3 linked regions of the Lepisosteus oculatus genome follow. The protein of the gene in region 1 purifies or fractionates together with the protein of each later gene. This does not show direct contact. Links are inferred from orthologs where the notes say so. Each region holds a gene or a part of one and is shown in the gene's direction. Other genes may lie near its edges. The genes, in order: fbxl17, zbtb10 and zbtb18.

Evidence for each region.
Region 2: the proteins of fbxl17 (region 1) and zbtb10 purify together in Homo sapiens (affinity purification with western blotting; 3 studies listed by BioGRID and IntAct, with this or other methods). This does not show direct contact. The link is inferred for Lepisosteus oculatus from reciprocal best matches to the Homo sapiens genes FBXL17 and ZBTB10.
Region 3: the proteins of fbxl17 (region 1) and zbtb18 purify together in Homo sapiens (co-immunoprecipitation; 3 studies listed by BioGRID and IntAct, with this or other methods). This does not show direct contact. The link is inferred for Lepisosteus oculatus from reciprocal best matches to the Homo sapiens genes FBXL17 and ZBTB18.

The regions. Positions count from the first base shown.
Region 1 is NC_090698.1:57,057,122-57,067,400, reverse strand, and holds the start of fbxl17 (F-box/LRR-repeat protein 17), read left to right. Parts: upstream 1-5,565; 5' UTR 5,566-5,774; intron 5,775-8,172; 5' UTR 8,173-8,192; coding exon 8,193-8,882; intron 8,883-10,279. Other genes in the region: prxl2c (peroxiredoxin-like 2C), read right to left, coding at 2,448-2,553, 2,893-2,946, 3,488-3,556, 3,942-4,121. UniProt on the Homo sapiens protein: Substrate-recognition component of the SCF(FBXL17) E3 ubiquitin ligase complex, a key component of a quality control pathway required to ensure functional dimerization of BTB domain-containing proteins (dimerization quality control, DQC).
Region 2 is NC_090705.1:39,776,299-39,786,461, forward strand, and holds the start of zbtb10 (zinc finger and BTB domain-containing protein 10), read left to right. Parts: upstream 1-6,127; 5' UTR 6,128-6,669; coding exon 6,670-7,413; intron 7,414-10,163. UniProt on the Homo sapiens protein: May be involved in transcriptional regulation.
Region 3 is NC_090712.1:1,251,334-1,261,741, forward strand, and holds the start of zbtb18 (zinc finger and BTB domain-containing protein 18), read left to right. Parts: upstream 1-6,535; 5' UTR 6,536-6,738; coding exon 6,739-7,255; exon of another isoform or gene 7,256-7,358; intron 7,359-8,943; exon of another isoform or gene 8,944-9,443; intron 9,444-9,981; exon of another isoform or gene 9,982-10,340; intron 10,341-10,408.

The DNA.
Region 1 (10,279 bases):
AAAGAGAGATCTCAATACAGCCCAGTAGCTGTAGTCCTGCTATCACAGGGAAGGGCGGTGATGTCACCTGCTCTGGTACGCCTGCTCTTACACAGTACCTGTTGGCCGTAAGCGTTACAATATCATTTATCAGGTGTTTACCTAGTTTAAAGTGACCCAGGCCTACTGTCTACAGTAAATGCTTTTCAATTGCCTTTGCTGTGTTTCTCTATCCTTCTAATTTGGTATAATCTGCAAACTTTCCTAGTTTACTAACTTTACCAGAAACCAGATCACAGATTTAAATTAGGAAAGCAGCAGTCCTAAAACTAAAAAATGAATCTTTTATGTGGAACTTTTTCAAAAGCCATATTGTATTTTCTGTGCATGCCCAATACTGTTCTTTTGCTCAAAGAACTCTAACGAGTCAATTAAGTAAGACCTATGTTTCCTAAATCATAATAGTGAAATAATTATCATTTTCACAACAAAAAGAAAAGGAAGCAATTTAATTATTGATCTTTATACTGTAATAAATAATTATTAAAATAATTATCGGGTTTATAATTCCTTTTTAGTTTTTTGGATGGGCAATAAATTAGCAATTCGCAGGTAATTTATAAGTAAATTTTTGTTCATGGATGGTGAATATTACCTCTCTTTTGTGTCCTGGACTCTACCTGTAGTTTCGCAATAAACTTGACAGTACACTGTGCTATCATAACAGTTCCTAATGATTCTCACACCTGTTTTCTACATGCTATCTTGTAGACAAATATGGGCATTCCCTTTTATAGGTGCTGTGTCAAACCATGTAAGGACGCAGTGAGTAGCCATTTAAAATATTTCACTACTTCTGCAGTTGGTTTTCCCAAGACATTGTGACTATGTGAAAAAGTCTCTCATAAAGACTACTTCTTCCTTTACAAATGCATTGCTGACTTCATTTAAATAATGTTACCTTCGAATCAATGTCTAAATGTTGTGGTCTGTAGCATACTTCTAACATTGTACATTTTGAATGTTTTTATAAGCCTGATCCATACTGGTTCAGAAACCCTTGATTCCTCTAAGTTAATATCCTGTGCCTGAATGCTCTTTTTGATGTACAGTACTGTGCATTGCTACACCTCCTTATCTTCCATTGTTCCCATCTCTCTGGAAATCTGTGGATCAACTAATGTTGTATTGGTCATCATCAGTCTCTTTTAGCCATAATTCTGGGATTCCAATTACATTATATTCAACCTCTATAAGCAGTAGCTTCTCTCTCATGCATTTTCCTTCAGCTCTAGTAATGACTAAAAAATACAAAAGACATTTCAATTTTGACGGAGGCGTCCATTGGTGAAAGGTTCAATAATGAGATGATCACTACCTCATGAAGAAGAGGGCATTAAGAAAAGGAGGCTAACCAGTACCAAATAACTGTGAATCTTCCTAAAATGCTGGCAGCAGGGCGATTTCAGTAATCTGATGTATACTGCAAAGTTAACAGACCATCTTAAAAAGCTGAGATATGAACTTGCTGAAAAGAAACTTATTGACTCCCCAGAACCAAATTATATCAAATCCCGTGGTTGGATGAAACACAAATTGAGATTGTGGATAGGCTCGCCAGCAGTACAAGCAGCATCTGAAACGTGAAAAATGTTTCTTTCTCACATTGAAAAACAAATGTCCTGCCCTCTGTAAAGGAGATAAGTGGACCTGTCCTGCTTTAGGGCTGTTTTCTATTGTCTGGTCCAGATACGCTGCTCAGAATGGAGGGGCAGGTGGAGTCCAAGGTTTACTAGCGTATTTCAGCCAACAGTGTGTGCCGTCTGTCAAGAAACTTAAGTGTGGTCTCAAATTGACTTTACAGAGGGATACCACTTCGAAGTCTGCACCACACTTAATGACCAGATGGTCACGAGAGCGCAAAAACCAAATGATAGGTCATGATGTGTCATTGCAGACTCTAGCAGGACACTTATGATATGATCTGAGGAAAGCAGATCACAAGTACAGACTGCACAAGGTGGAGAAGCTGAAGAGGCTCAGCTCTGGTCAAGAGGCTGAAAGGTTGAAGAATCCAGTCATCAGAGCCAAAAGAGGGATAGAGAAATACTCCTCACCAGGGAATTCAAACATTTCTGCATTAGTTATTTGCAATTTTATTGATGGATGTTCTATTTATACACATATTATTAAAAAAGGAAAGGTTAAATCCATACAGAAAAGCAGAAAAAAGGCTTTGGAGTCTTGTTCGGGTGTGTGGTCTCTGTAGCTGAAACGTTTTTTTTCCTCCTTTCTTTTTAATTTTCAGTGTGAAATCAACCCCTGCTTGTCACTTTGCAACTCACACACCAACACAGCTCCCTCTTTAACTTCTACAGTACTGAAAGTCATCTAAATCCTTCATTTGTTATTTGCACGTATCTGGAAGATACTGTATATAATCTCAAAATTAAAAAAAAGAAAATTACCTGACTCTGTGAACACCTCCCCTTTCTTCATTCCAAGTTTTTTATAAATTTGCCTTTCTGGATCAACATATATTTCATGTGGATAGCCTGTCAGTGCGCAGAACGCCTGTATGTATGACCCATATGTAATATAAGTAAGAGTGATGCATAAAAATACACAGACACGTCTAGCATTTTCTAAAGGAGAACATGTACTTGATGTTTCAGATGAACTGCAAATCTGTGGTGGCCTTGTTAACAACTTTCTGGTAGCAAGGAAGGGTATAACATTGCAGAAGGTCTGATTATGACATTAGTGAACAAGAGAGGACATTTCACGTTATGTTTAGAAAACAGGTCACAGTAGGGTACTGAATGCCACCAATTTGTATAGCACTGTGTTAATCATAAATTAATACAATGTTGTAATGTAACTGACCTATCTCATCTTTTGGAACACACATACCTCAATGTGATGGTGTGAAGACTGTCCAATTACTATCAACCTGACATCAGCATCCTGTTGTTGAAATAAATATGAGTTTAACCATGATATTCTCCACAGAACTATATATTTTCTACTGAAAAGGAGCAGAAACTCTGGGAATTTAGGATTTAAATGCAACTCTATGCTTTGGACATATATTGTCACACGGTTAAATCTTTTAATATTTAGAATTTCCTCTAGAAAATTATTTTTACGATTTTGAGGGTCTGAACCCCCAGCCCGGCCTGTGCAAAGCCCCAATCCAGTTATTCTTACAGGTCATCTGTTTTCAAAAGATTGCCAACAGCTGTAAAGATATTGATGAATGAAGCAGGTGGGCTATTCATTAAAGTGAACTTCTGGCTCCTGAGAGCTGAAATATACTGTACTAACAACAAGTGAAAAAATAACCTTTGCTTTTTTATTCCCAGAAATCTAAGCTCTTTTATGAGATGTGCCTTGTAATAAGGCATTTTTGTTGTTTGCTGGTAATTACCATTCACATTTCAAATAATGGAAAATAATCAAAATAAATTTAAATAACTTTTAAAAATGTAATAATTCTACTACTTACTGTGAGGAACCTCTTAGGTATTTTGGCCAGATCTTCCACATACTCTTTGCATGTGTAACACAAAAAATGCTATAAATTCAAAAGTCAAATATTTAATTTGAAACAATTAGAAACAATTGAACATAGGCTATTTATATTTTAGATGCAAAATCCACGACGAACTATTTTACTTCAGTTAACAAGAGTTCACAATCGAAATGAAAGTATACCAACACGAGAAAAGGGTGCCATTTCGGATACTGCTTCCAATGCAATCATTTAAAAATATACGTATATAATACCTGCATTTTAATAAAACACCTCTGGTTTAATGTATCAGCACTATCCTTCTCACTCGTAAGGCAGATTTCCTTTAAATCGGATCTCTAATGCTTGTATTGAAACGTTTGAATACTTCGGTATTAAAACAGGGCTTTTACAGCATCGGAACTGGTAGCAGAAAAAAGCTTCTTACCCTAACGAAAATAACGATTGATTTCTTGTCGTCATATAAACTTTTAAAAGGAATCCGTTTCCCGTGCCGGTTGTAAACAAAACAATCTTCAACCTCTGAGATCGGAATATTAACCGGGTTTTTCTGGTGGCCTTGCTGGGCTCTGGCGATTTGTTGTGTGACGGGAAGATCTGCAGCCATCTCAATCCATTTACAGTACAACTTTTTTTCCCTCAAGTCTTGTCCGAGCTATTTTGGGCTTGCTTTGCAAAGTGTCCAAAAACTCAGAAACCACTCCCACAAAATTAACAAGTTCATGTGCAGTGAAGTAACCGAGTTCATGGAGAAATAACGCACATCTGGAAACAGAATTAATACATGCCCCTATGGACTACTGATAAATGTTTACTGCATCTCGATTATTTCATTTTACTTTCTTAAGCTTTTCCTTCCGATCTCTATGCGTCTGTGCGGCCCTGTGAAGAACCGCATTTGGTAAAGGGGTTTCATCGCTCCTGCTACAAATAACTGGTTAATTGACAAAAACCGAGTTATTGTCGACTTAAGATAAATCACTAATGATATGCAGCAACAGAACACTGAAAAATATTAAGCCTTATAGTTGTAAAATATACCGTATATCTCATGCTATTTCAGTAGCCTTTTTATGACGCCTAGCGACAATTTGGCGTATTGCATTTTGTGCATTTTTATGACAGCGCGCTGTTGTTTGCAACTACTAAATATGATAGTAATATAGTACCAAAAATAAAACAGTGCGTGGAATCGACAACACTTCACAGACAATGCTTTCAATTATCGGTCTGCAGACCGAACAGTTAGCGACATGTTTCTGAAGAAGGACCGATTTCTCATTCCTTTATTTAAAAAGAAAATCGAAATTCAATAAAAATCAGAGCAAAATTGGATATTCTGCAGCCCTTGTCCAGTCTCTGTATTTATCTTCAATTGTGTTAGCATGTTCATTTATTTTAAGTATTTTAAAATAAATAATTGTTGTCATAAAAGCATACATTAAAGCTGAAAAGCAATATTTTGAATGGAATCGATATAATTTTCTATGTAAAAACAATTATGTCTTTACATACAGTAGTCAGGCTTGTGTTCCCAACGTTTCTAATTGGTTGGCAGACATCTAGCATAAAGGTTACCACGAATTCTTTATTAATTTGACACGCAGTGCCAGGCTAAAGTGTATGATAATGAAAAGTACGCATATGCTGGAAAATAATCAGCATTTCTGATATTTGTGAGTTGCTTTTATTCCAAATGATACGCCACTGATTATTTAATCTACCGTGTATTAGACGAATTTCCTTAGGCAACTTCTTTCTTAACAAATAAAACGTGAACGGTAGCAGTTATAGTGAGTATGACAGAAGACCTCCCTCCCTTCCTACCCCTTCAAACCATGAAACCTATTTCTTATGTGTGTTTTATCTTAGCGATACAGTGTCGTTGTTGCTATGCACGGAGGCGGGCATCACCAACTTGACGGACAAGGTGAACATGCAGTCTGTGAAGCCCTGGCTTGACTGACAGGGAAGTCCTCCAATTAAAAAGCAAGGAAAGAGGCAGTACTCGTGAGTGAGGAACAGGGAATTTTCCAATCACTCTTTAAGCAGGGGGCAGGATTTCCTTTCTTGTGCTTATTCCGGAACACTTTCCACAGAGAGCAATAACATATATATGATGTGTGTACACGTTCGTACATAGCGTTGTGTCTGCAATATTTTAAGTCTGTCGAGCTGTTGGTGGTGTTTTATACGTGGATTATGAATGCACGGGTTGAAGGCGACTGGAATTGTGTGAACTGGTTGAGAAAACGTTGCTGTAAGTAAGACGAACTGTTCCTTCTCATCAAATTCAGTTAGAAAGTTGTTTTTTTTTTCTTACAGGTTAGACATTGCCAGCTGAATGTGTTGTATTGCTATATATATTTTTAAAAACTTACAAAAAACACTTAACGACCTTGCCTTTCAAGCCTGTTCTCGTGTTCCGAGATGTCTAAATCATTTTTGTCATGCACGAATTCAGCTTCTCGAGGTGAAGGCAAAATAATGATTATTTTTGCTGAGTTTCGAGGAAGGCCCAGTACTTACGGTGTGAATAAAAATTGTACTAAAACAAGTACATGTCAGGTCATTGCTGGCAATACCCCTGTTAATTTAAAAGCAGCTCGCTGCATAATATAGTGTGGAGCCCACGGCTCATGTATTTTGAATAATGGTGTGTGATCAGTTCTAGGAAGAAGTAAAATAATAAATTTGGTTATGATTTATGCAAGGCATCGATGATAAAACTATAGTTATTTTATTAGACGAACATCTGGTACCTGCAACACTAAATGCTGAAAATTGCATAGTACCAGGATGCCTGAACAGTACTATTTAGGCAGTTTTCAAGATGTGTATACAAGAGATCAGTTGAAACCAATAACGCTCTTCAAAATCCCGTCCCAAACTGTGTGGTGTGTAGAACTACCGAACAAGCACATTTGAAGCCTTAAAATATTTCCAAGATTTTTGATGTATGATTTTATAAAGGCAGTTCTACTACTGCACTTGTGGTAATAAACGCAATGATTCCAAAGTTAATTTAATATGTTGCTTTGTCTCCAACAAATTCAGATTTCGTGCAAAAAAGATACAACAGTTTTTGGAATGTGATTTTTGTTAGCCTTTTCCTGTAGTTTTGAATGAACAGCGACCATAAAACTCAAGGCAGTAAATGCGCTTGATCTGTCCAGTCTCATTTTTCAGCACATTTAAGGTTACTAGTTTAGCATTCAGGTAGGTTTCTGAATAACACCCATAGCACCAAAAACTGCTTTCTAGGCTTGATCACCTCACCTGCTGTCTTTGATCGCCATGAACTACTGTATACTGTTCAGACATCAGTGGTGCGTTTGTTAGAAAAATGCACATATTCCTTTCTTCCTTCAGTGTTTCTGTGGAAGGCTTCCAATATTATTGATTCATTGTTGAAAGTGAATATGCACCTTTTTTTACACTAAGCATAATGAATTGGAGCACATCAATTCAAAGGACAGTGGATCCTAACAGAGCAGCTTAGCATTTAGGGCCATGTTCACTGGAGATAAAATGCACGTGTAGTTATTGTCATCCATAACTTGGCTGAGGAGCCAATGATGCGAAGCTGCCATCTGTGGGATTATGAGTGAATGTCTCCCAGTCAGGATCCCCTCTAAAAGGTAGGGAAAGGGAAAATAGTTTTCTGCAGTGAGGTGTCACTGTCTATTAAACCTTATCAGACTAAGCTCAGATGATACAAAGGTCTTTGCCTGTATGTGTGTGAAAGTACTTTGAGAGTACTCAGATTGCTGTTTCACATCACAGCACATCACATCGGTGGGTGGAAAGCAAAGCTCACTGCTGTTGTCCTAGATAGCCTAATGGAAACAACACTTGGCTCTTAAATGATTGACAACACAGTTGTGTTGCCTCTTGAATCGGAATAACAGAAAGGCTGGTCAGCCAAGGCCTGGGGAATTAAGAATGTAATTCCCTTCCAAAATAGAAATAGAAAAATAGAAAATAATTAACATCATCTTACAGGAACAGGATTGGAGCAGTGCTTTAAGAACATAAAAACGGTTTAAAAGAAGAGGAGGCTGTTTAACCCCTCTGGCCTGCTTGACAGCCAGTAGCTAATCGATCCGAGGGCATCTCATCCAGCCGTTTCTTGAAAGAAGCTTCAACATCATGGCAAAGTTGTCATGTGGAACACGTTGAATCATAGTCAACAGGTGTTTGTAATGTTAGTAGCCTGAGTGTAAGCAGTCCTGTTTGTGATATCACACAGTTTGTGTAGATATACAAAACGAGCAATGTTTGCACGGCTTGATTTTTGATTTGCCATCTGGTCGACATTTTAGGCTGCTCATTCCGAGTCCCAATTACTCAAGCTGTGATGAATGAGCGAGCCCCTTCAGAGTGCTTGTATTGACAGCGTCTTGTGTTTTTTGTACTTTTTCTACTGCATTGTATGATTGAAGTTGCATTGATTGTATACATCTTATAAAGTCCGTTGGAGGTTTCCTGTAAGGCATGTGCAAGGCCAAAGGAAAATGTCGGCTGTCTGTAGACAATAAAGCGGATTTTGATTCCGATTTTCTCCCCAACACCCATCTTGGCTGTAAGCGAGCCACAGCCTTACCTTGCCTTTTATCTGAGAGTGTGTTCCCCCCCCCCACTGGGCTTTTCCACAGAGGCACCCTGAGTCATCTATATGGGCCATCTTCTCTCTAAAAATGGCAAGCGCGTGAAGAAGAAGAAGAGGAAGCTGCGGAGGAACTGCTTTCTGCACGGGCCGTGCATGCTGTGCTTCATCGTCCACAACCCCAGCAGCCTTGCCGAGGACCAGCTCGAGAGCGCCTCCAAGCTCGCCGAGAGGTACGCCGCGCTCGGCTCCCCCGAGGACTGCGCCCGCTTCCTCCTGTCCCCGAAGGAGCTCGCCCTGTGGGAGGAGCAAGGCAAGAGCCTGCTGTCGGGCGTCCCCGCCAAGCTCTTCCGCACCGTCTCCGCCGGCGACTACTCCGAGATGGTCTGCAAGCGCAAGTGCCCGCCGGGGGCGCAGAGGGGCGCCCCCTGCAAGCAGGCGCGGCGCGCCTTCCAGGAGGCGGCCGAGAACGGGGCGGGCGGCGCCCCAGCCGCCGTGGCGCCGCCGCCGCCGCCGCCGCCGCCGCCTCAGTTCCACCTCCCCCTCTGCATCCTGCCCTCCTCGTCCTCTTCGGAGGGCTCCACTGGGGGGCTCCCGACGGGCTCAGGGGAGAGCCCCGCCGGCACCGCCAGCACCGCCACCCCCCAGAGCCCCTCCGAGAGCACCCCGCTGGTGCCCAGCGACAGCCAGGGTGACTCTAAAGCGTGTGAGGCCGACATGCCCAGCATCAACCACCTCCCTGCGTCGATCCTGCTAAACGTGAGTGTGAAAAGAGGAGAGGGGGAACCTGCGGGCTGGGGTACTGCCTGAGTTTTATTCGGATATTTTTATGGGGACACTATACTGTAAAAAGGCACCATCCTTCAGATGAGAAGTAGAACCGATGACCTGACTCTCTGTGCTCGTTAAACCCAGGGTGTTTCTCGAAAAGAGTAGGGGTGTCCCGACCAAATTTCCCATTGGTCTTTACCAATCATGGCCTCCTAATAAACCCCATCTCTGAACTGGCTTCATCACTCTATCCTCCTCCCCACTGATAGCTGATTTCTGGTGAGTGTACTGGCGCATCATCCAGGTGGGGATACACATTGGTGGTGGAGGGGAGTCCCCATTACCTCTAAAGCACTTTGGGTGGAGTGTCCAGAAAAGCACTTTGTTAGTGTAAGGATGTTATTTTATTATACAGCGTACTTAGATGAAAAGTGCATTAATAGAAAACTGTCAATTTAATTCATTCACACCGGTCTGTGCACCTAGCAACTGATTCCCAGAGTGTTGGTATCAGTACAGATATTCCTGACCGTGCTTACAGGAAGACATAGTCAGGTGTGTGTTTTTCTAGTTTTTGTGTGCGGAAAGCATTCAGGACTATATACTCAATTTTCTGGCACCGTCGGAGAGATGCACTGATGACGCATTCTAGTAGCAGTGGAGAAATTTTAACGGATGAAAAATCGGTTTAAACTTTCTCTGGTTTCTGCTGGTTAATTGATTAACTGTACTCCTTCTCAATGAATTAGATTGAACTGACTGTTTGTGCATGCCCGATATAAGGCATTGCCAAACAAAAAGCTAAAGGAAAAGGAGTTGTATTTAGTTGCAGTGCAAGTGCAACAAGATTCCAGAAACGTATTTATTTGAATCACAAAAAAAAAAATCTCTTTTTTGAGTGGTGCTATAATGCAAGTCCATCGTCTTATTTTATCTCATTAGGAGGCACATGATAGAGTCTTTTATTTATTCACATCTCATTCATTTTATTCATTTTATAATTAAAATACGATGTATTATGGCAAAACTATATTAGGTATTTTCAAGGAAATAGAGGGACTCTAAGGAAAAGAAGTGGTATTTAATTAAAAACTTACTGAAAAACATTGACATTTTGACCAGGCACAAAACATTCTTTGACTCTTTGAGTTCCGGCTACATTAACGCTTTCCAATGATACCTGAAGGTACAAAAAAGGCTGAAGCTGTTTGAAATCTGACCTCTGCCCCTCCCAGCCTCTATTGGAAAAAATCCATAGTCTCATATTTCCAAATCCAAACAGTCTTGAATATTTTATAACGCGTGATCACAGGATGCTACTTCAGTTTTCTTGTGTGGTCCTTAAAGACTATACCTTAACTGTTAAGTAGAAACTATTAGTTTAT
Region 2 (10,163 bases), on another chromosome or scaffold:
CGCCCCCCCCCCCGCTTCCCAGCGCACGGTTAGGCGGATGTCGGTGTGTTTTCCGTGGGCTGTGCGAAGTGGCATTTCAGCCGCGGAAAACCTAGAAGAGGTGCTTTCGTCACGGGGTATTATTTATACCTAGGCATGTCAGATACCTACAAATCAATCGATAAAAGAGATATACGATGCTCGCCTAAATGGAGATGGTACCGTGGTACGCAAGGTGAATGCCGACTGCGACGAATCTGGCTGCTTAAAATTACCCACCGAAGGCAAAGTAACAGACGCTGCCCTCTGCAGGGTGATAAAATGCGGAATTGAGTCCGGTTCCTGCTGAAGGTAAAGAGTCCGAGAGCTCGGCGGGGCTGGAGAAGTTCAATAACGCAGCGGTTCGCCATCCTGAGTCCCCACACCTGCCGGTCGGCGTCACACGGCTGAAGCCTTCCTCGACTTCATAACAGGATTCATTTAGGACTGTTCTCAGCTCTGAGACATGTTGACGTTTGTCTTTTTAACTACTGCATTTCACGAGAAAAACAAAACCCCCACCCCTTTGAGTGAGAAAAACAAAAACTTGCAATATTCGACTCAAACAATGTGTTTTTTTCTTCACATGCTGGAATATTCAGCTATAAATTGCATTCCAGCTGAAGCAGCCCTGTGATTCATTTATGAATACTGATGACACCTTCATTCTTGCAACAGCTTATAATGTACTATTATATATGACCATGTACATTTTGGAGAAGTGTGTTCAGACATATTTTAGCGAGGGAAATTAAATTAAGACAAGTCAAAGGGGTGTGACTCTTTTTAATCATCTTCTGCCATATACGTGTCACATCCATTTTTTTCCATTGTAATTTTACTGTGATGGAACTATCCACGAAGTGGTTCATGGGGTAAGTAGGGATACTGAGGAAGAGACACCGTAGGTAATTTTTATTTACATGTAGTAGAATTAAATCCCATTAAAAATGCTTTTATCAGGGTCTTTTAAGAAGTAAGCAGGTTCATTCATCTGAATACTACCTCATGCCAGTCTTGTGGCTGTTGTCCCATACCCACAGTGCTGAAACGGTGGCTGAGTTGGAAGACCTTGGACACAGGGCGGGTTCGCCCCGGTCAATAGCGAGCTTGCGGAGGACAGCACATCCACAAAGGCACCTGGCACACACCGGCAGGTTCATGGGCTTCTGGGAAAACTGGCCCTGGCGTGTTTTTGTGCATGCCCTGCGATGGACTGGCATCCTGCCTGGCACCTATTGCTTGCTGGGATAGGTTCCAACTCCACCGCAACCCTTTATTGGAGAAAGCAGCTGGACAATGGATGGATGTTTTTTCACATGTGCAGGCCTTCCTCAACGTTTAATTTTACACTGCTTTTGGCAAAACCTCCAACATCTTGTGTAATGCCATCTTGGTACTTTGCTGGGTACCAAACTATGGCCACATTTCATCTGTAGCGAGGAACCTTTCTGTCGGAGAGCAGGAGTATCGGAAATCTTCAAATTAATTTACTGAAGCTGTTGTAGAGGCAGCTTAGCTGGCTCAGCTTCACTTGCAATCACTCCCATGCAGATAACGACCTCTAAACCTGCAACTTTTAACACAGGCTGACCCCGGTGACCCCTGGCAATGTCACTGATGATTCCTCAGCGTGATAGCTGGAGAACGCAGAGTTTCAGTTGATCAAACTAGACCCACGTGTAGTGATGAAAACTGGATCTCTCCTTTTCCTATGCAAGTGAATAGGGTTATGGAGTTCAGAGTATAATCAATGGCTACATTCCTAACACAGGTCAGTATTACTTGAAAGCACTAAATACTTCCTGCATCGCAAGCATTGGAGTGTTAAAACTTTTACAAGTTTATCATTAATTGACACAATTACAGATATAGGTACAATCCTGTTCCTGTAACCCAGTATATTGAAAGAACTGTAAGGAATTTATGACTTTGCCCAACACAATTCTGATAAGACACGCAAATCATCACTCAGGAAAAACCAGAGGCCCACCTTCCTCTGACAGTGAAGATCCTCAGATATAAATGAGATGTCCCCAGATAACTTTGTGTACATTATAATGTAGCCTTCATGTACTGTAAATGTAAAACTAATGACCCTTGCCTGTTTCACTCAAGAATCTGAAGTATGCATGGTTTTTCTTACTGAAGTCAACGCGATATGCCACATAAATTAAAACCTAAAACGTATTTAAGGCTTGTGCCGGAGGAGTATTTCAGCATTTAATTCAAATCTAATAACAAATTATCGGGAGTATATGCACACACGATCGATTTTGTAGATATCGATCTACAGCAGATATGAGATTCAGTTTATCATTGGCACAAATAATCATTCAGAATTCGGGACCTCTTTATTGGAACTCAGTGCGCCACATCAGCGGCTCTCCGGACTTGAGAATGACCCAGGAACCCTGCTACCAAGCACCGTGTCGTACTGGCTCGGTGTATTTGACCTATAGTGACGGCTATATAAAACATGAAATGTTCGAACTAAAGAAGATCAATACGTAAAAACGCACTTTAGAATATTTTCAGATCCTTTACCCAATATCTTTCTACGTAGTATCTATGCGTCCTTAAACGCGTTTCTATTGTTAACCGAAGCCAAAATGTCAGAACCGTTTAAAAGAAAATTTTACACCAATTCCAGTTGCAATGATGGTCGTCCCTTCTCAGCGACCCCCCCAAAGCTGTGGATATTTCCAATCGCCTGAAATAATCTAAAAGGACAGAACACATTAGGTTTATTGCTATCGTTTAAACTAAATAAAAGGGTAAAAGAAAATGTAAATAATAATAATAATAATAATAATAGCTTATATTTATATAGCGGTTTTCTGGACACTCCACTCAAAGCGCTTTACAGGCAATAAATGAAGATCGCTAGCGAGATCTTCAGAATGAGACTGGGAAATCACTATAGAAAACGAATCATTCTAAAATGCTAAGAGTCCACAACCTGTGTTAGGAGGACGTGGATGTATTCATTTAGAAATAGCTCGATTATACAACTCAAGCTATTTATGCCATACATTTTCGAAAATTGAACAAAATACCAAGAGCAAAGATAATTTAACTAGCCGTGTGAAGTCCCACCATTAATTATTCAATCTGTGCATTTACAGTGCTTGTATATAGAACAGCTAAATGTGCAGCAACGCCCGTTAACATAAAATACGCGAACAAAACTAGAGCATTTGTTTCCACTGAAACGTAGGAAAAATGACCCACTTTTTGGTAACCCTGTACACGCACGATTTACAGGACTCGTTCTTGCCAGAAATGCGATGAAGCTACAAAAAAACTTAACTACAACCCTCTCTGGAAAAACAAACAAACTGATAGCAGTTTTATGCACTTAACAGTAATTTGCATGTTTCACATGAGGCGTGCTAGCAACTCCTTCACGACTCTACATGTTAAATACACAGTATCGGTTTAGTGCTATTGTTCAAGATCAAGCTTTGAATCCTGAATGCAAATACAGTAAATGAACAGTTCGCAGTTGCAAAATAGAAAAAAAATAGATTTAGCCACTGTATTTTACCTATTTGAGTGCTTTAAACACGAAAGCTCCTTAATCTTAAGATCACCTTCTGCTAATTACAGTGCCTATATGGCTTACTAACAAAGGACATACAAGTTGTAGCGTTTGTGAATATCATAAATCTGCTCAATTTACAAAACGATTTACATGTAGATGCCAGTTTATAGTAGAGGGTTAAATACTGTACTGCGGTGAAAACATTGCGTTTGTTTTCCATTAACTCGTATTTCCTAAAGCGTTAAACATTACATAGAGACGCACCTGTAGCCATTTAACGTTTAAGGAAATTGCCCCTTCTACACGAAGGCACAATCATTTCTGCCCCGAGCAGTCCAGCAGTTAATAGAAAAGGGCAGAAATTAAAAAAAGGAGTCACATTAGAACATGTTGACTAAAGTAGTTTTCGCTACTAAGTAGCTAAGTAGTTTTCGAGGAAAAAAAAACATAGACAGGAGACTGAATAAACAGTCTTTGAAGTTCGAAACTGGTTTTGTATATTTAATTATAACACTAAAATTTAATTTATCCCCCCCGATAAAGAGCGTATTTTTAAAACAATTTACATTTTAAAAAATGTATGTGTGGTGTATTTGCTACGAGGTGAGTAAAACACATAAACCAGCGCCTTCTGCCTTAGTAAGATCTCGTTTTCTGGTGTATTGTATTGACATGTGTAGGGCACTCACAAGTATTGGCTACAGTTTTTAAATCCTTCGTACTGTTAATAAAGAGTTTTAAGGTTCTCCAGCATTGCAAAAAATGTCAGAAGCAACAGTTTGTTTTCAACGGGCCCTGCTTCATGGCATAGGCCAACGCAGTCCCAGAACTTCAAGGTTGAGTTCATAAATCCTAAAACCTAAATATGTGACGTTATACAGTACGTGTAGAACACGTTTTTTTTTCTTCCATAGTTTAAGTGACTCGTAACCGTTTATTACAGAAATGCGTTACAGGAATTGATTTGCTAAACTCCAAGTGAGAGCAGATCTCGGGGTGTCTGTATGCACCAGCCGTGCTAGATTGCTTGAATTGATTCTTGAATACTTTATAGGACAGCCAAGGGCCCTCAAGTATTTCAGCTTTTACCATCGATCGTGCACACGTTTGTTTTTTAAAGAAATGTTTTTTTTTACTATGCACCCGGCTGAGGGGTAAAAGAAATGGCAGGCATAATACAGGAGTACAGAAGTAATAAAGAGACCTCTGCCTAATTGAGCCACTACACAGTAGTTAACAATCCTGCTGTCATGGAGAGCACCGTGACAAACCGTAACAAGATAACGCCACGGATTATCATGTTCTTCAAAGAGAGCGTCTTCAAAACGATCTCCTATGCGCACAGGGAGGACTTGAGCTCGGTTATTTTATTTTCTCCAGGGTACAGTGCCACCTACTGGACCGCCCGCGCCAGCGCCATTCTGCCAAGGCATCACTAATCAAAGCCAGCCTGGGCTCACCCCTCATGTCCCACCCGAGCCGGACACGGCTCTAAAAGACCCCCACGGGTGGGAGAGCTCATTGCTTTGAAGCAGCGTCCTCTTAAAAGCAGCGGCTCGTAAAATCGATTTCAGTGGAATGAATCTTAAAAAAAAAACACACACACACAACAACTGGTAAGATGCTGTACAACAAACATTGTGTACAACTTCGACCGAGAAAATAGATACGTTTTATTCATTTGACAAATCCGCTTTGTGCAATTAAAATCCCATGTCTTAGGGTTGGAGAAGAAGTGGATTTTATCCATAGTGGGGTAGTGGGTAATACCCAGTCACTGGGGGGTTTAGGGTTCAAATCCCAGGTGACACACTTGGACGAATAATTTAGCAGCAATATATCTAATTATCCTGTACACATCACATACGCCCGCTGCAAGATCTTCGAAGGGCTTCACAACTACATTTCAGCCTAAGATGCCATTACGATATAAATTATAACTATAACACGTAAGATGTCATTATAATGAATAATACGCATATCCGCTTGTTTGGGGAGTGTGTAGGTCTTGGTCTGGCCCCTTTGTCAGCTCTTGAGAGTCTAGAAGTCGTTTGGACCGTCTCTCAGTACAGTCCTCACGGTGTGTGTGTGTGTGTTTTTTGGGGGGGGGTCTCAGAAATTGCTGCCTCGCCACGCTTGTAAAATAAATGCTTGGAGCTGAGCGGTGTTTTTTTTTTTGTTTCGTTTTTTTTCTCTCCCCCCCATCTCTCTCTCCGTCTTCCAACATAAGCAGATCCTACCGCTTCGCTAAAAAACAACAACAACAACAACAACAACAACAACAACAACGCGTTTCCATCTACCGGGGCTAGACGTAGCAGTTGAAGGGGGGACATTTAACTGTAGTTTCGGTCCTTGCCCCGCGGTTTGGCCGCGGTGCTCGCCGGCAAGAAACCTCCAGCCTACAGCTCCGGAGCGAAGCGCACCGGGGGCCGCCGGCTCACCTGCCCATTATCCGCTCCTGAAGAGCCGACACGGCGCGCTAACAGGCAGGTTAGTAACCTGTCGTGATGCGCTCTCTTGCAGCCAGTAATGATGTAAGGTGGGAGAGAGGAGGAGGAGGAGGGGCTGCTGCTTCTGCTTCGGCCGGGGTCCCTGGGTGTGTTTTATTTCGAGGTCTCCAGTTTGCACAAGCAAAAGACGCACCAAGCGAGGAGGAGGAGGAGGAGGAGAAAAAAGTCGGGTGCAGCGGCCGACACACAAAAGCCCCCCTCCCCATCCCGACCCCCCGGCTGTCAGGAGCACCCCCACCTTCCTCCGAGAGGGCCCCCCCCCGCTCCCCGCGAGCGAGATGCATTGTGGGGAAAGTCGTTGGCATTCGACCTCTGCAGGGCCTGCGCGGACGCCGACAGAAGAGCCCTGAAATTCATTATGCGTTTAAAACCTTTATTTATTTCCGCATAACCTACACGGTCTCGCCAGCAGGCCAGAGAGAGAGAGAGAAAACAGGCCCCCCGCCGTGTTGGGGAATAAAAAAAAAGAAAGAATTCGGGAAACAAAACAAAAAAAAAAACTCAGGAAGGTGCGGAAACTCTTCTCGACTGCCTTGCCCGGCCGGGGGATTTCGTAGCGAGAAGTGCGGATTTCTAATTTATCGCGGAGAAATGTCCGGGGAAAGGAACCGCAGGTCGCTGGCTTTCCGAGGAGGTGGATTAGCCGTCACCGGCGCCAGCGGCGTCGGCGGCGGCCACGGCAACAGCTGGGAGGCCCAGGCCTGGCAAGATCGGCATTTAAACGGGAACAGGCCGGAGCAAGAGGAGGACCGGGATCTGGGGGCGCGGGGGGCGTCGCTGGGGACACTGGAGGGTGGGGGGTCGATCAGCGACAGCACGGAGGCGGAGGAGGAAGAGGACGCGGAAGGGGCCGGCTGGGGGCTCGGGCTCCGGGAGGACGAGCGGGTCGCCCACCCGGGCGGGGACGGGGACGGCAGCCTGCCCCCGCAGCCGGCCGCCGCCGCCGCCGAGGGCGACCGCCGGGAAGGGGGCAGCAGCGGCTGGGGGGCCGGCGGCGATGACCCCCTGCAGGACGACGACGGGGCCGGCGCCGGCAGCGGCGGCACCGCGTCCGGGGAGGACGAGCGGGCCGACGGGGAGGAGAGCGGGGCCAGGAAGCCCTGGGTGGAGATGCGGCCGCAGACGCTGCTGCAGAAGCACTCGCTGTTCCAGCGCTCCTGGCTGCAGGAGTTCCCCTGGCTGCGCTTCGGCCAGGACAGCGGGCTCATGTCCTGCGCCTGGTGCCGCGGCCCGGGCGGCGACGAGCTGGCCAAGGGCAGCCGCAACTACAAACGCGCCCTGCTGCTGCGGCACCACCTGTCCGCGGAGCACGGCAGGAACGACCCCGACAAGCAGGTATGGAGGTGGGGAGAGGGAGGGGGTGCCACCACCACCACCACCACCATCACCATCGTCACACGCTTGTTTATTTTTTATTCTGGGGGCTGGAGGGAGGGGGGCGTCGCACCGCATCACTCTTCTTCGGGAGACCGATTCGGTGAAGCGCATCCCCCCAAAATAAAAAGCCTAGTCTTGAAAGTTGCTTCTGGGGTGGGGGGTGGGGGGTGGCAACGTCTTAACGCGTAACGGGCGTTTAATCTCGTTTTTTTTTCCCCCTTCTAACTAGAAAAAAAACAAACGAACTAAATTACCTAGCTAGACCCCCGGGGATGATGAAACCCGGACGGTAACCCCCCCACACACACCGGATAAACACTAGTGTTGCCCCCCTCACCACCACCTCACCACCCTTTCCTTTCCCCGAATTCAGCGCTTTTTTCTCTGGTCACGGATGAACGCCGTGATCGCCAGTCCGAATTTTCTTTTTCTGCCTCATTTGCTTAATTGCCGGGGTGTGTGTGTGCGTGGGGGGGTGTGGGGTCACGCTGCGTGTTTCTCGGGGGGGGCGCTGCACCCCCCGGCCCGGCGTGTTCCCCGGTGACCTCCGCCTCGGCCTCCTGTCGGGTGCAGGACCAGGAAACGCGATGTATTTTTTTATTTTTTCCCCGTCGGCCTAAAACGAACTCCAGGGGCGACTCAAGGCGGCGTGCTCCTGCCTGTGTGTGTCCGTCCGGTGCGGAAGTAGACGCGCTGTCGTGGGATTCACGGCTCGGCCCCACGGGGGCTCGTGTTTTTCTCGGAAAAGGCGGACGCGTGAGGTATTAATTAAAGCGGCCCCGCATGGACCCCCCCTCTCCCCCAAACGCCGGCCAGCTCTGAGGCGCAGGAAAGTCCGAGGCGTGAGCGGCCGTGTGGTGTTGACTGGTGTCACTCCGGCCGGCGACACGTCCGGGTCCTGGGAACTTGTCTGCACGTCCACTGTGCAGAGAGAGAGAGGGGGGGCTGTATGTATATCTTGCGCTGTTTCGTACAAGTTGGCAGCCCCAGACTTTCCACAGCCCCGGGGAAAGCGCCGCATGCGAGAAAGAGAAAGCATGAGAAGTTTTTTTTTTCCCCCTTCCACGCAAGGTGGGACCGACCGGTTCGAACCCCGCAGCCGGCTGGCTTGCATTAAAAAACAAAGCGCCTTCTGAGAGGAGCGGGGTGAGGGCTATCCTTAGCCGGCGAGCCGTGAATCTGCCCCCCTCCCCAAAAACAAAAAGGCCTTCAGGTGAATCGCTGCGGGTTTGAGCGTCTCTGAAGCAGCCGGCGAATTGGCGAAGGTCGTTTAGTGAAGTAAATCGATGGCACGGTGGTTGGCGTTGGTAGTATCGTGGGGACCTGGTTAGTTTTTAAAAGTTATTCCAGTGAACCAATCCTGATTTCAGGCCTCACTCGTGGGCGAAAATAATAAAAAACAAACAAACTGCACGGCAGTTCAGTGGTCTGTGGATTGCAGTTTCTACCGTGGCGAGTCTATGGGAAGAGGCGATAATGGAGCTTGTCCACTCGCTCAGTTTTGACCTGGTCTTAAGTGCTATGAAAGCTAGTAGGTGTTCTGAGAGAGAGAGAGAGAGCACACTTCCTCTTTTAACAAGTTGTCTGTAAATCCAGACACGATCGGACTGCCCGAGTCATTTCTTGATCTTTATGTCAAGGGGCTCCAATCTTGTTCATAAAAAACAACAACAACATGGTAAACATCTGCAGCCATGCACGTATAGTTATTGACGAACTGCGTGTGCACAGCGGTTTTCATCCCAAGCACTTGACGCATAGGAGGAGACTTCATCCAGCGGTGGAGTGGTTCATGTTATGAGCCCGCTGCAGGGCTGCTGCTGCCCTAATGAGAGGGGAGAGGGGAGGAGTTACTTCTCCAGTTGACGTAAGGGGGGCTTCAGGAGGTCAGAATGGATGAACCCACAGTGGGATTTAGCCAGGACACTGGGATTAACACGCTGGGAGTTCTTTGCCTGGGGGAAGCTGTACCTACAGGTACTGGGTGACTGGACCAGGCTGTTCTCAACACCCTGGGGTGTCGGAAAAGGGACCCTTAAAGACAGGGACCCCTTAAAGACACCGTGCAGTGCTGAAGTAAAGAAACAAGTCTCGCTGTTGAGGTCAGGAGATCCCAGACTGGTCCTTTTCATTGCATGAGTGTCCAGTAGTTTGTTTGAACCATTAACTGAACTATTAATTTGTTCAGTCTGTTTTGCTTATCGTATGCCTTCGACACCTGCAGATTTCAAGATGATTGCAAGTAACTTGAAACTTTATACCGCTCAAGAGTCCATTGTGTTAAAAAGAGAGGCCATGATACACCTGAGTTCAGTTTAAAGTGTCAGCGCAGTATTTGAAGGCCCAGCTGGTACCGAAACCCTAAGACGCAGGAGTCGCAGCCTTTTCGTATTTTCAGGTTGCGTGTGCGCGTGTGGTGAAGTCCCCTGCAGTTACCGAGCAGGAAATAAAACCACGATAGATGCCATCATCTCGCCCAATGACCACGTCAGGTCCTGGTAGTCGTGAGGTCACTCGGCAACCGCGGGTCTCTCTCTCGGCCGTTAAAGACATAAACCGGCAGCTTTCGAAAGACGCTTCTTTGCTATTCCTGTCCTGAAACGAAACTGGTGGGCCGGCTGGTGTCTACGTTCATTCTGTACTGTCGCGTCTTCCACTGAGGGGGCTTTTCTAGGCCTTGTGCTCTTTTATTTTTCCAACATGGCAGT
Region 3 (10,408 bases), on another chromosome or scaffold:
AGAGGTTTGCTGGATCTCCTGATGAATTCTTGAGGCCCCCCTGAAGAGCACTTCAGCAAAGGTTGAATTCCACAGTGACCTCAAGAGGAAGGAATGCACAGCACAGCTGCACTGAGCACGCAGTTTCACAATGAAGTGATTATTCTTACTTCTCTTGTAATGCAACGCTACTTCTCTGTTGTACTTAATGGAACGTGCTGCTGTACCTTTCCCATGCCTGAAGGCAGGGAAACAGAGAGAACTCTCTTCTCACTGACATGATATGGCAGCAGCTACAAACTACAGGTGTTACGAGCATATTTCTAGCTCCGCTGAGCATGTAAAGTGTTTTTTTTCGTAGATTTTTTTATGCAACTTTAATCGGCTTGTGCTTTAATCGGCTTGTGAGAATAGTTGGGTTTTTTTCCATGGGAGTGCATGTAAAATATCTACCGAGCACCGTACATTTCAGGCTGAAATCAAGTCAAACTGTCAATGTAGTTCAGCCCAGCACCCGGCAGTGCTATTGTCTTCCCTCACGCCTCTGCTGTCAGTCCTGCCTGTCCCTCGACTGCAAACGGCCCCTTAAGAAAAGGCTCCCGATACACTAGGAAACTTAGCTGAGTATTTCAAATGAGCTTTAGAAAAAGAAAAGTCCAGTTGCATCTAACTTATAATTGCAATTTCAGGTCTGTCTTGAAATACCACAAACTATTTAGACAGTTTAAAACTGAGGTCCTGACTCTTTGTCATTAAAGATCCGAAGGCAGTGTTCCAAGAGCAGGGTCCCAGTGTCCTGGCTGAATTCCACCCTGGATGTATACCATCAGGCCTCCCCTGCCTTCCCTAGATTAAACTAGTGATGTCATTCCCCATTCCTCACCCTGGTCTAGTGTGCCGTGGGGCTGCTGGTGCAGAGTTACTGTCATGTGTCGCCACGACACAGGGGAAGCTGAGCTTCAGTGGAGGATGAAGTTGTTCCCCTCTTATTTTCACACATTTAGCATTTTGAAACCATTTGGGATGAAAATGGCTTTTAAATGCACAGAATTATTAAATTGCCATTGTTATCACAACCACACAAAACTGTGGTATTTCATCACATATGCCGACAGCTTTGTCCAAAAATCAGCAGTTTTCTTTATTCTGCGTTTTTGCACACTGTGCCAGTATGAAAGAGCACATATTTCAAAACAGCTGCAACATATTGAAAGCCGGCATGCAATAGTAAAAAATGTGCCTGCTTTGCTGACTGAAAAAGCTTGCCATATGAAGGTATATGGATTAGCCACTTAAATTTCAATTGCATATGGCTTCTGGCAGAGTTCTGCAAGTTCTGCTTAAAGCTGTTTAAAAGCCATGCAAGGTATGCAAATCTCGACGAACTTTGAAATTGGACAGGCTTTTTCACAGCAACCCCTTTATAATCGATCGATCCGTCAGGGGCGCACTAATGTAACGCAACGTGTACACAAGCAACCCCAAGAAATGGGCTGGATATCTTCGGATTTTAAAGCAAGGAGAGATATAGGGGATGAATGTAAATTGCACTACTATCAGGGCATCACAGAAACAAATACCAATTTTTTAAAAAATCGGATGGAGAAAGCTGACCTCTGGAAACGTGGTTGCTTATTGTGTGCTGTCTGTACCCTATTTTGGATCCATAAAACGAGACGTGACACTTAAACAAAAGCTCTGGGGATTCACGTTGTCATTAGGAATTGCAAGTCACCATGATGCCTCATGTGAAAGCCCTGAAAACACCTGCACACCTGTCTGGGCGTCTATTTATAGACCAGTTTTCTCCCCACAGACACGCGCCGCACTGTCGCGCCCAGGTGAGTTTAGGGACGAAGTGCGGTTCTGTTCGGGGCTCTGCTGGGCACAGCTGTGGGTCGGGGCTGGAATGAATTCAGTCAGCTGTACCCAGGTAGCCAGCGGCCAGGGCGCACCTGCTGGCTCGCTGCCCATGTCGCGGAAAACAAGACGCTTCTCTGGAAAAGGCAGCCGCGGAAGTCGGCATCACGCGGAGGAACGCGCTGCTGTCCCGCAGCCGCGAGGTGTGAGCTCGCCGCAGAAAGCGGACCCGGGTTCACTTAACGGGTTGTGAGATACAATCCGGCTGAAATTTCAGCACAGTTGAGTGAGCAGCATTGAGCCGGGCCTTCTGTGGGTTGTGGTGTGTATAGAACAGATAAAGACCACGAGGAAACAAGCCCCCTCCATGTTTGGCTGAATTATTGATATCCTCTGGGCCACCCTACCCTTCTGCTGTAGCTCAGTCTCGGGGCCGTGTAATAACGCACTGGACTCCGAAAGACACGGCCTACACAGGCTCCTGCTTTTCGCGTTGGTTAGCTTCCTGTTTGTACATTTAATGTGTTTTAGAGATTCTATTCAAATTTCACCTGGAAACCGAAAGCCTGCCAGATTCCGAGCAGATTGTCAGACACAGGACCTTCAGTAAAATGGAAAGACATCTCGCAGCGTTTGTATTAAAGAGAAAACACAGCACCACCCCGTACCAGCAATGCAAGAATTAAAAATATTTTATTTCTAATTTTCCCCGTGCTTCAAAGATATAGACATTTTGTTCCATGAAAGACCAGACATCTTTGACACACTGGACAGCTGCAGGAGAGATGGGGGACGACGGAAATGAGTGAATAATTTTTTTTCCTAAGCTCCGTTTGAAATAACTGGTACAGGAAATGCAGAGGAGGTTTCTGGAAGACTTGCTCCGAGTCTCTGTGAAGAAATGAAGAGATTTGATTTCAACAGCCACGGCTCTCCTGTATCTGCGCTGGAACAGATGGAACACTCCTCTCGGAGTGCCATGTCCAACATCAGACACATGCAGCCTCGCCATCGCCGTGACCGTACAGGTGACTCAGCTGTAACCTCAGGTGGGGGCTCAGAACGCTCCTCGGCCGCACAAAAATTCAGACAAGACGTTAATCACTTGGGATTCTGGGACAAAGTGAAAAACTTGCACTGCTGATGCCAACACCTGGTAGCATTGATTGTGTGTTGACATTGTGGTACTGTACCAACACTTTCTGAAGGTCTGGTTGTTTAACAGTACTGCCTGTGAAACAGGGCGTTTCTGAAATCTTCACATCGACCTTTTATCATCAGCAGACAGCTGTCAGGGGTTCAAGAAGCCAGACTCTGACGGAAAACTGTACCTGTTTCCGGCAGATATCTGATACGCACACATAACAGAATTCACTAGGAAGTGTAAAAAAGTGATTACTTTCTTACACAATGAACACGTGGAATTCCCCGTGCTAATATAAATGGTTCTTCAAATGAAACAAAAAATGAAGCTAGTATGTATAACATAGCAAGATTTCTAAAAGGACCAAGGAAATTCTAAGCAGTTCTAAAACAGACAACAGTAACCCACACTGGAGATCTGGGATGGGCCTGCAGCCCATACATGGCAAAGAGCTGAAACAAAAACATGATGAGACTTGTTTCTATTATACTTCCTATTAAGACAATAACATAGAAACACAACATGTCAAATAGAAACAAAAAAGATATTTAATTCACACACACATATCTGGAACATGACCACCTTCACATACGGGATATGCAGCGATCCGTGACACAGTGGTCTATCACACAAAACTACGGGAAAGGAGCGGACGTTTGCCCAGGATCTTGGCAGGAAAATCTCATTTCAGGCCGGGGCCCGGGTGAGGCGCACACACGGCACAGAGCGGCTATTTTCCAGGTCCTCCCAGCAGATCGGCGCCTCGGCTCACTTGAAGATGCCATTCCGCTGAGCTGGGCTCGTTCACAGGGAGGGCTCCCAGCTCTGCTGGCTCCGGTCCCAGTGTCCTAGTTCTCCCGTCCTGCCTCTGTGATCACTGGCATTTACTGAACAACACAACTTTGTACATTCTGCTGTGCAAATGAAACTGCAATTAATTAAACAGTTGGAGGAATGTTTTCCAGATACTCCTGGGCTAATTTGACTGTGCTCCACGCTTTTTTTTTTCCTTACCCTGGATTAGACATGGGAGTATTCTCCCAGTGCCGTTTCAAAAGCACACAACCAGAATGTGTTTTTTTCAGGTATTTTGTTTAACTGGAAGACCTTACCATTAGCATTAAGCAGAGCAATTCACCAATTTTGAAGAGTACACTTGAGCTTTCCCTTAGTCTTAAACTCATCCGGTTTAAGTCTGAATAAAGCTCTACTGTAAATACACCCCTGCCTCTGCTGCCAAGATGTTTTAGGAACTCGAAAGGCTAAGTTATCACCCCAAAAATATCAGCCAGAGAAGAAAACGTGACTCTGTATCTCCCGAAAAAGGGATGTCTCTTTTGAATTCTGCTGTATTTCTGTAATATACATAAGAACATAAGAACAATTCCAAAGGAGAGGAGGGCATTCAGCCTATCTGACCCTTGTGCTAGTTAGGAGTTAAACTGATCCCAGGATCATATTCAGATGTTAAGAAAAAAACAGGGTATCGGTTTCAACTTAGCTGGGCAGCTTTATCCAGACCCCCACCACCCTTTGTGTAAAGGAGCGCCTCCTGATCTTGGTTTTTAATGAACCGTATATGCTGAACGATGTCAGTAAGAGCTACAGCTTGTGAACAAGTGTATCCCAGGCTTTCTGCCCAAACTTCACACCCCCTGCGTCGCCTCTGTTCTTGTTGTCACAGCGCCTGGGCTACGAAGAGCACCCGAAACCCTGTCCATGCGCATTCTTACACTTTCAAACATGTCGTTAAAGTTTATACGTTGTCTTCAGCCGGCGCGCTACTTGAAAAAAAAATATGTGAGCGTAGTAGATAACACTATCAAGGCCATTTTAACACACAGATAAACCGTTTACAGATGCCTTCCATTTCAGGTCTTTCACAATCAGCAGTTTATTATTTTTGAATTCGACACGGTTTTGTTCTGCTCTAACCTCTGCTCTGCCGGGGTTGGGGTGCAGGACTGTTTGCAATCTGTCGCGACGCTACCGAGACAATCGCGCCTGTGTGTCAGAAACGGGAACCTCGTTTCTGCGCTCAGCTCCGAGTCTCTACCGGGATTTCAGAAAACTGCTGAAAACGCTAGACTAGTATTTAAAGCTATCAGTCAGTCAATATTTTTAAAATATTTTTTTTTCTCTGCGGGTCGTCGGAGGTGTTGTGAGATTACCTGTAAACAGCAGTTTACAGCAAATCGGAAACTAAATGTAAATTTCGTCTGACATTTTAAGCGCACAAAAAAACCGGGGTGACGTTTAACAGTCACTTAACTGTATTCCTAATCATTTTACTACCTGTATCGATCATAGGTTATCGAATGCTTACATTTATCATTAAAAGCATGCAAAGACAAAATGCCTTAGAAATAAGCAGTCTTTTCAAATAAATCCACAAAATTGTTTTAATAAAAATATTAAGCTTCCTTCTGTAAGAACCAATTCATGCTCAATTTTTACGTTCTTATGCTTTGATTTATAAACAATTTGTTATGTTTTTTTTCCTCCTGTTAAGCCCAGTTCAGCTGAAAAAAAAAAACAATATTCGCTATTCTGCTTTCCGGTGCAATTCTGGTGAAGTGTATTACTTCTCAGTTGGTTTCGCGTTACCAAAGCTTTCCTGTGAGGAGTGAACGTGAAATTTTACGATTTTTATCGCGCAGGCTTTAACAAAAATAATTACCCGGGAATAAAAAAAAACACACACGTGTAACTAAGCGTCAATCCCTCGAAACATATTACAGCTACCGTTAAAAGACTGGATGAGGAAGTTCAATTTGAAGAGCGAAAGCGGAAAATACAGAACTGAATCTCTCAGCAGCGTCTCTGTAACACATTCCCGCAGTTCCAGTGAAGGAGTACGGACTGCGTTTGACAAGCGCGTCACTCATTAAAAAACATTTAAAACGCAGTTTTAAAAAGACCTTTAAACATTTGGTTTAAAACATTAAATCGTTGAGATGTCAATTTAATCACATTTCATCCGTTTTTCTCATGCCGTACTTGAGACTCCAGTTGCCCCTTTGGTCAATGTCATTGTATTTAAATCTAAACTGTGGAATAATTTCCGATCATGAAATAAAACGATCTTACTGTCGTTCCGCACTCTCTATTTCAGTGGCTACCTGCTGCAGGACACATTGACTTCAAACAAACGTTACAAATCGCGCCTCGCAGTTCATGACGAGTAGCGTATCCTTTTAATCTGTATTAAAGAAAAGCAAGACATTGGGGAAGCAGACGGCGATACTGATGAGTCGTCACGGCAAGAGACTGTTCCTAGAAAGAGAGGCTACAGTATTTTAATTAACAAAGTCGTATTTGTGTAACTTCAACACAATTTCCGTCTCTTTTCAGATTTGAAATTGACATCTTCGTGAATTCGCGTACGTTATGATACAGTAAATGCTTTATTATATCTGTCTGGGATACAGCTGTCAAACACAAACAGCTATTTTAAGGATAATGATTCACAGCTGCTCTCTGACTCGAAGAGTGCGTTTCACCGCGGTCAGTGAGTAAATACAGGCTGTAGCGAAATTACAAGTCAATTAACCGATTTTAAGACAATTCCGACACGCGGCTTAAACCTACGCGCACATAAATGCTGAAAATAACCTCGACAGCATGCAGACACTGGGAGTCATTTTTTTGCACATTTCGGTACAGTTCGTGGATGGTGTTACACTCGGTCAGGGTGGGGAAACGCGCACACACACACACACATATGCAAACGCACACACACACAACCTGCGCTCATGCATGACCGGCACAGCGGACACGGGCTTTCCCTCCGTCGGTCTTTACCTACGAACACATCCAGCACACCCTGCACAGCAGAAACAGCACAAGGCGGCGGCCTGGCGGCTCCGCTCTCCCCCGGCCGCGGCACCTGTTCCCTGCGGCCCCGCCAGGACTACAACACCCAGGCGCCACCGCGCTCCGGCTGCCCGTCTCGCTCCCTGCGCTCTGCGCCAGTCCGCTTGAGGAAACCAGCTCGCTTTGGCCTTTTTTTTCTGCCTTCTCACTGTTGCCTGGTGTCAACCTACGCCGAACAAACAGACGTCCCTCCCACTCCCCCCTCCCTCTCCCCCCTCCCCCTCCGAGCGGCCGCCTCCGATTGGCTGGCGCGCCGCGGCCCGCCGCCGCCATTGGCCGCCGCGGCCGCCCGTCACGGCGCGTCCCCCTCCGCCGGAGAGTTGAGTAGCAACAGCTCGGAAACATCTGGCTGCCGCAGCTCGTCGGGTCCCCGCTCTGTCTTTTCTGCCTCTGCAGGTTGTTATGGGGAGCAGCGGAAAGTCGCGGTAGCTCTTTTTGTTGTGGTCGGTTTTTTCCTCGGCGAGCAGGGAGGGGAGGGCGACGCGGGGCACCGCTGCCTGTGAGTACGCCGAGCCGCCGGGGTGTTTCGGGCCGGGAGGGGGGCGAGGGGAGCCGAGCGAGGAAGCGGCGAGCGAGCGGGCGGGCGGCGGGGGGGGCAGGCTGCAAGGAGACGGAAAAGTAGTGATCTTCCTGGGGCGCCGCTGCCGGGGCAGCCCGGGGAGTTGCGGGGCTCGCCGCTGCGGGAGACAGCGCTGGCGGGGCCTGCAGCCCGGCGGGCAGCGGTCGGGCAGCGCCGGTGCCTCGGCTACCGGTCGTGGCGTGGCGTGGCGTGACCGTGTGCGCCAGTGGGCTGGCTGTGGCTCCTGGGTCCCCCCACGCTGCTGCCTCCGCGCCCGGGGCGCCGCTCAGCGCGGGGCTGGAGCTGGGGGACAGAGCGCCCTGCCCAGGGCGTCCCGGGAAGTTTGGAGAGAAGTTCGCTGTGAAACTGTTGCTTCTTGTGCGGGTTTCCCTTTTGTTGTTGCTGCTGCTGCTGCTGCTGCAAGGGTCGGTCATCTGTCACGCGTGAGAGGAGGCTTCTGCTCTGATCAAGGAGCAAAGAAAGCCTCGATCCCGGGGAGGAAAGTGACACTCAGGGGCCACAAGGACACACGTGTTTCCTTGTTTGCCCCGGCGCTCTCTCGTCGCCCCTCCGCGAGAGCCGGGAGCCCCGCAGGCGGTGTCGCCGGGGGCCGCCGCCGCTGTGCCGGGCGGTGAGGTCGCCTGCAGCCCGGGCAGGGGAGCTCCGTGACCTCCGGCGGGCTTGTAGGAGCCGGCCGCGGCTCTTGGCGATGTCCTGAGGAATTGCCGAGCCCTCACCCCCACACCCGGGCCAGAAGCTCCGAATTTACCCCCCTGTTTTCGGCAAATGTGCCCACACGGGACCCCGGGGTGGAGCGGGTTTACAGGTGATTCAGCGGTGCAACTTCTGACTGCTCGGATGTGAAGAGAAATGAGAGGAATGTGGGCGATATTGGCCATTAGTCTGTGCTCGGTGGCGGCCGGCGACAGGTGCCGAGTCGCGTGTGGTGTTGGTGTCGTGCGGTGTTACCGGACCGGACGGGTCGGGTCGGGCCACACGCACCGGTCTGAGGTTCCGCCGCAGAACACAGACCCCCCTCCCGTCGCCCCGGCTCCGGTGAGCTCCCGTGTGGGGTTTGCGCCGAGTGAAACTCGAGGTGTCGGCGGCCGCAGCCGAACAGGAACCGAACCGCGAGATCGTCACCCGCGAGGGGGAGCCGGATACTTTCAGGCGCGCCGCTGCAGCAGGGCAGCCTTAACACAACAACAACAAAACGAAACTTGGTCAAAACTCTTCTGGCTTGCGTATTTTATTTTATTTTATTATTTTTTTTTGGGGGGGACAGTCTTTCCCTGTCTTCTTTTTCTTATTTTTTTTAAATCAGTTATCCAGTGAATGGCGGCTCTGGCGAGGGCACTGAACCGTAAAGAAGTCGAAAACAATATCAGCTGCAGAACTGTCAGTTGCAAATCTGCGGAGTGGGGCTCTGTGGAGGGTTACTGGCCGGGGGGGGGCGGTTGTGTGTGTGTGTGTGTGGGGGGGGGGGGGGGGGGGTTGGGGAGAGGAATGCACACTCCAAAAAACTGGAAGGATTTTAAATGCATCCCTCCAGTAATGCAGTAAACCAGGCTAGAAAAAAAAAGTGTCAGACCTGTTTGGTAAAGTTGTCTTTCCGTGCAGATTGGAGGGGTGTGTGTGTGTGTTTTGAAGTGTATTTGTAATGGGGGGGGGGTTGACCAGTTCTCCCCAAACAATTCGATGTACAATTTCTTTTAAAGAAAGGGAGGAAAAAAAAGTTGTGTAAAGAAGAGGCTGGTGGCAAGAGTGTAGAGGAGTAACATATGGCATTAAAAGGAGCACAGCTGGAGGTAGCATTTCCATCTGAACATGATGTCAGAGCAGCTGACAGACTGCCATCCCCCCGCCTTTTATTCTAGCACACAGGCAGGGAGTTAGTGTGTGCGGCTCTGCGTGCGGAGAAGGTATCTCGTTCGCTTCCAGCGTCCTCTCCACTCGGCATCTGTCTCTCGGCTCGGCGGAGGAGCTGCGGCCGGGGCTCGGTCCGGTTGGTGCTGCCTGCAGCAGGTACGGTAGGGAGGGCTGTCAGGGCTGATGTCCGCGGGCACGCTGGCTCTGTGATTGTTCCAGCGTGCTCGATTGTTTGCTTTTCGGGACTCAACTTGGTAGGGAGGTGGAGATGAATGGGAAACTTTTTTTTTTTTTCCGCTTTTCGCATAGTGCATCCGGAATTCAATTCCTGACGGCAGTTGTGGTATTTGAGTGCCCACAGTGCCTTTACCTTCCTTTTGTTGTAAAACAGGCTGTTGATGTTTGTGTCTTGTACACAAGAGATTTTTGTTTTATTGCAGCTGATGTATTCGTTGATGCCACTGTGTGTTTTAGGGGAGAGAAAAAATCGGCAGGAAGAATTCCAGCTAGGGAACGAAAGAACTTTATTCTCTTTTTTTTTTCTACAAAAATAACGATAGCCCTCAAAAGGGGGAGAGTATGTAAAGCACAGAGGAAAAAGTCGTGACTTCAAAAGAAACCATGCCAGGCTGTGTAGACAGGTTTTTTTTTCCTTTTCATTTTACCCATCTAAAATAGCAGGGTAATTATTTGAAAGCATTTCTTTCCTTTTTTTGTCATAGTGACTAATTTAGGACTTGCAGATTTGAGCTGCCTGAATTGGCCAGACAGCTGTAATCGCACTCCTCCTAGTCCTAATCTCTTTATCTGGGCAGCAGCTGCCATATGGCCACAGTCAGCTGGATCAGATGTTTATAAGCTTCCTTCTTCGTCCCTCTCTGTCCTTTCAGCCTCCTAATTTGATCGCTGCTACCTTGTGAGCTGTCCTGCAATCTTTATTTTTAGCCATCTTAAGGATTAGGATTGATGTAGACTACAGGGCACTTAAAGTGATTGTATTGTAAATCTTCTGGGTTTCCTCTTTGAGGAAAGATGTGCAGTTTCTCGAAAGAGGTGGGGAAAAAAAATCAAATTGCAGGCTTTTCTTACAAAGTGGAAGAAATGCCTTGCTCCATAAAATG